2 linked regions of the Rattus norvegicus genome follow. The protein of the gene in region 2 purifies or fractionates together with the protein of the main gene of each other region. This does not show direct contact. Links are inferred from orthologs where the notes say so. Each region holds a gene or a part of one and is shown on either strand. Other genes may lie near its edges. The genes, in order: Atxn7l3 and Tada1.

Region 1 (2,699 bases), on a different chromosome or scaffold from region 2:
TTTCAAATAAAGCAGCACCGTCCCTCTCACCTGGGCCGTTCCTCACAGCCCTGGGGCAGGGAGGGCAGGGGGCCACTCTGATACAGGCTCCCTCTTCCTACCCTCCCCTTCCCATTCCTTGAAGCTGTAGAGGCTGGAGGCCCTTTCCCGGCACCCAACAACAAAAGGACAGCTCCTGCTGCCAAGGAGGCCCATGGGGACTGAGGGGAAAGGGCTGCCCCCTGTGAGGCAGTTCTGGACGCCCACCTTAGCAGACAGCACTGTGCCTGCTGACCCCGGGGAATGGGGACATCTGATAGGACTCTGCACACAAACAGGACATAGCAGCCCTGCCCCTCAGCTCCAAGCACCAGACCCTTTCACATTGCTGAGGGCAGCCAGGGGAGGCCCCCTCTGGGCTCAGCTTCCAACCCAAAGCCGCCTGGGTAGCCACAATGCCCCTCGGCAGGGCTTAGTCCAGTTCCTGGGGTGGGGAGCAGGCAGTGCCCTGGCACAGTGCCCAGGTCAGGCCCCCAGCCTAGCTGGACATCCAGTAACTCACAGAATAAATAGGAAAACCGCCTCCCCACCAAACTTATGTCCAAGGCATAATATGTCCAGGTCTGAGTCCTGCACGCCGAGGGGTCATGCTTCATTGCAGAGGATCCTGACACCCCCCAGGGGCACATATTGGATCCTCTGCCTGCCTGGCCCACCAAGCTTCCCATGCCCAAACCCCCAGCAGCTGTCCATGTGCCAGGCTATGCTGCCTGGGTGGGGGTCGGGAGAGAGGGCTCTCTCAGCCAAAGGCTATTCCTTGCACCCAAGTCAGTTGATGTCCTCATAGATGCTGGGCGCTGGGGGAGCCGGTGGCTTTGGCTTTTTCTTCTTGTTGGAGCCCAGGCCAGAGGCAGTCCCTACCAAGCTCAGATGGGATTTCTTTTTCTTGGTTTTCCGTGATTCAGAGCTGTTGGTACCTACAGAAGAAGAGTCACACGGGATGAAAGTGCAATTGTGGAAGGGTGCCCACTGCCAAAGCCCAAGATCAAGTGCATGGTATACCTAAACCCCATCCCTGATTTTCACTAGTCTTGGAGGAGCCTGAATCAGACGGTGAGAGATCAGAAGAACCGTCCCACTGAAGCCGGCTGAGGAGGGCCTGGCTGTCAGTCATGTCAAAGCCATCATTGTCCAAGGAGCTCTCTACCTCTGGAAGAACGCTAGAAGGAGGAATCAGAGACATGTTAGGGAAAAGAGCAGCAACCTGACCCACCGCCCTCCTGGAAAGGACACTTACGCCGAGGGCCCAAGGAAATAAATCCGCACGGTTCGCCTCTGCTCATCCGTGTGCTGCGGGCAGCGTAGTGACCTGGTGGGGACAGAATGATCAGACCCTGACAAGGCAGGGAAGGACTTCAGGAACTCAGGTGAAGCAGAAGCTGGAGGGACAGGGAAAGAGTCAGTGGTGAATCCCCAGATGGTGGCTAATGAGGCCTACTGGATGAAGGGAGGGTAAGGGTGGGCCCACTGTCAGATCCAGGGGTACGCCCAACCCATGCCCAGTCAGCCCCCTTTTAAGTTTCCAAGCTCACCTTGTGCACATCTTCTTGGTATGTTCAGAAATTACTCCACATTGCTGGAAAAAAGAACACAGCTGAAAGGAGGGGCAGGAGACCTGCTCGAAACACTAGATGCTCCCTCTATACCAGCGCTAGACTGACCAAGTAGAAACCAACCCCAGAGCTAGTGGACTAGGAAGCCCACTTTCACAGAACACTATGGCTCCTGCTGCTGTGCCACCTGTCTCCTTCAGGGTCCTACTCCCTGTCCAGCCCACACCAAAGCCCTCCCTCTCCAGTTACACACTGTGGTGAGCAGGCTCCGCAGCTCTTCTGGCCCCAGGGTCTCATAGCTGATCCCAGTTGAGTTGCTATACTGTGAGAAAACCAGAGGTACAGGTTAGAAGTAAAAAACGGGTCAGAGAAGTAAAGAGTGGGCAGCCAGAAAAGGAGCAGATGGAAAAGCAGTCCCTCTCACCCTTGCCTCCAAGTAATTTTCCAAGTCCTTCCAATCTACCTGCACATAGACACGGAGACGGGACCCACAAAGAACATGAACACCCAAGGCTTAAATAGCGCTACAAGCACTTGTAGTTGTCACAGCATCCTGGCCTCATTTTTCCAAATCCCAACCACCTCACAAGAGTAAGGAGAAGCACACGAAGGGCAGGCAGCATCCACTCACCTTAAAAGGATCGGAGTTGCTAAGTTCCCCTGAAGAAGAAAAAAGAAGGGGAAGGGTGTTTGATGCAGAGGTACAGACAGAGAACCCTGAAAATAACCAGAGAGGAAGTGGGGGTGACAGAAGGATCACAGGCCCTCCCTCATCCCCACTCCAAGCCCTGTAGTAACATAGCTAGCAGCACCCTGTGGGTCTAGCCCCACTTACCATTTTTGTGTTTTAGAGACTTGGATCTTCGAGGGGAATTAGGGTTCTGGAATGGGAGATACCATAGCTTTGGGGAAAGGGCAATGATAAGGGGGAGCCGAGAACCCAGGGAAGGAAAAAAGATTTGACAAAGAAACAACCTCAAACGAATACTATCCCTCCCAGTAAGACTGTCTGTCTAGATTCCCTCCCTCCCTCCCACCAACAAAACCTCTGGAGCTCCCGTCCACCAGACACCCTTACTCCCAAACCCAGGGATGCCCCCCAGTGAC
Region 2 (2,550 bases):
GCACACCGCTCCCTCCTCCACAATACTAACATTGGCTTAGCTCAGGGCACTGAACCAAAGTGTTTCCTGCCCCTTAAACCTTTCCATTTTGGAAAGAAAACAACAACAACAAAAACAGTGTAACTTTAGAAATATAAAATTGAAAACAAATGGAGAAGGCAAATATTAATGACCGCAGACTTAGAAAATACACGTCAAGAAAAGTAGCAGACAAAATGGGAGTAAAATAAAAGTTACCCAGATCTTGCTAACTTCCCAAAGCAAGCAAAATAACTGACAAGCTGGGAAGTCAGGCACGGCCTCTACATTAGCACAGCAAGTACACAGCTGCCTGGAATGTGGAGCGAAGACGGGCAGCAACTGGATGTAAAGCGCCAGACGAGAGAAGCTCTGCTAGGGAAACAGCTTTGGGGACGGGGAGCGAGGATGGAGGGCTCCAGGACAAAGCCATGGCACAGACAATCCAACATCTCTGATTACCCAAACACTGGGGTTTGTCTTTTTCGTCTTTCCCTAGAGAGTGACTTAAACATGAAGCAATGCCAAACAAGTATGTCTGAATGATGTTTGGGAAATAACTTACCACCGGTGGAAACCTAAAGAGATGATACTCATCAGTGTCTCCAGGGCCTTGGAAAAGCCACTGTCAGCGCTCACCCTGCCTTCTCTCTGTAAGCTCCCTATTGCAGCTCCTACCTGTCCTTCCAGTCTTAAATATTTGCTCTGACCTTGTATGGTCACATCCTTCCTCCTGTCCTCCACTAGACAGACAACCAGACAAACTCCAGCCTTTAGAGTAAGAACAGTCACTACGGTGACCACAAGAAAACTGTACTGCTATTTCTTTCCTACAGGTTAAAAGTAACACTACATTTTGTGAGAAAGCAGAATGGGTAAAGGTAACCCAAGCCAACTCACAGAAGAGTGGCTTGGAACTGAAGATGGCCCTGGGAGCCAGAGTGGGTTGAGGATCTAGATCATATCTGTACAACAGGATGTTGAGAACAATCAGACGACATGGACACAGGCCACCGCCTTGAGCTCCGGCTAAAAGGGTCATATGAGGCCATGAACAAACATCTACCATTCTTCCTCCTCTTCCCACTGTAAAGACCCAGCCTTAGACCACACTTCTGGCTGAGAAGAGACCAACCACATCCTCAACAGGCAGAGGCTACCATCAGGAAACAACCTGAGGATCTGAGGAACTACCCAATCCCACTTCAGAAAGTGAGAAAGCAATCAGATCAAACGATCACTGATTTAAAAAGAATAAAACAAAAAGCAAACAAACAAACAAACAAAAAAAACCATAGAGCATGCAGCTTAAGAAATAACTGTGTTGAAGTCAAACTTGCAGAGACACAGTAACTGATCCTTTAAACAGTGGCCTATCGCATAAAGTCAGTGACCAAGCAGCAGAGCACAGGAAGCCACGCACTCACCCTTCAACCAAGTTGTTGTAAGCCACCACACTGTTCTTCAGGTATGGCTGTGGGGTCACGTTACTACCAAAGGCATATTTAAAATGACCATCCCGAACCCTGTAAGCTTTCCTTCTCGACACAACTGAAGTCAGAATATCTTTGAGGTGATTCTGTAAAAAAACAAAGAAAAATAGCAAGAGCCCCTCAAAGGCAAAGTGTAGAAGTTCCCCTGTCACACGCTCATCCCATTTAGGTGGAGATGCAGAACGACAGAGTGCTGCCCTTCAACAGAGTACACGCCGACAGGGGCAGGGTACGGGTGACGCATGAGCCAGAGTCTTCACTCCGCTCTCTAGGAGGAGGAGGCTTTCTGCAGGGAAAGCTTTGCTCTGAAGTGGATTTTATTTCAGTTTGCAGGGCTGAGACTGGACATCACACAGAGCAGATGTCCACCACTCCACTGGCATTCTGTTTTGTTTTCCTTAGCTGAAGCTTCTCAGAAATGGGTTTTGGGAAAGGAAGTAGTTTGGTTTTTTTGGGTTTTTTTTGTTTTTTTTTTTAAAGACAAATGACTTTAAAATTTGACATAAGACCTAGTATTCGCTGGTTACCAAGTTCACTGCAGAGGCTTTTTGTTCTCAAAAGCTCTTCAAACAGATGCAGAACACCACACATGTCTATTCAATTTCTCCTCACCTATAGAAGAGCCAAGTACCTCAGAGCTGGCTGGGGAATGTGAAACTAAAACACTCCCAATGCATGTTAGCACAGGAGAGCCAGGATCAGGCTAGGCCCTGTACTTATACCGGTGTAACTATCTTCTATCAGTACACCCGCGCGCAGTTTAATATGGGTTTTCACACAGAAGTCGTTTAAGGCATCAATCATCTTAGAAATGTCTAGGAGGATAATCTACCCTCAGCTGTGTACTGTCTGGCACTGGTGCAATGCACTTCTGTCAAAGTGGACAGGTGACTGAGGCATGGGTTCAACAGCCCCACTGTTTAAATGCCACACGGAGGCTCTTTAAATGCAGCACTCACTACCTTACACAAGTGACCTAAGCCACCCCAGTCTCTGATCTCTGTTTTCTTCTTCTTAAAAACTCTCCCTATATTGACAA

What was found.
Region 1: the proteins of Tada1 (region 2) and Atxn7l3 purify together in Homo sapiens (affinity purification with mass spectrometry; 6 studies listed by BioGRID and IntAct, counting the BioPlex papers as one, with this or other methods). This does not show direct contact. The link is inferred for Rattus norvegicus from reciprocal best matches to the Homo sapiens genes TADA1 and ATXN7L3.

What each region holds. Positions count from the first base shown.
Region 1 is NC_086028.1:87,744,563-87,747,261, forward strand, and holds part of Atxn7l3 (ataxin-7-like protein 3), read right to left. Parts: intron 2,495-2,699; coding exon 2,428-2,494; intron 2,310-2,427; coding exon 2,224-2,309; intron 1,915-2,223; coding exon 1,846-1,914; intron 1,616-1,845; coding exon 1,572-1,615; intron 1,349-1,571; coding exon 1,277-1,348; intron 1,200-1,276; coding exon 1,042-1,199; intron 957-1,041; coding exon 808-956; 3' UTR 1-807. UniProt on the Homo sapiens protein: Component of the transcription regulatory histone acetylation (HAT) complex SAGA, a multiprotein complex that activates transcription by remodeling chromatin and mediating histone acetylation and deubiquitination.
Region 2 is NC_086031.1:81,175,867-81,178,416, reverse strand, and holds part of Tada1 (transcriptional adapter 1), read right to left. Parts: intron 1,598-2,550; coding exon 1,446-1,597; intron 1-1,445. UniProt on the Homo sapiens protein: Probably involved in transcriptional regulation.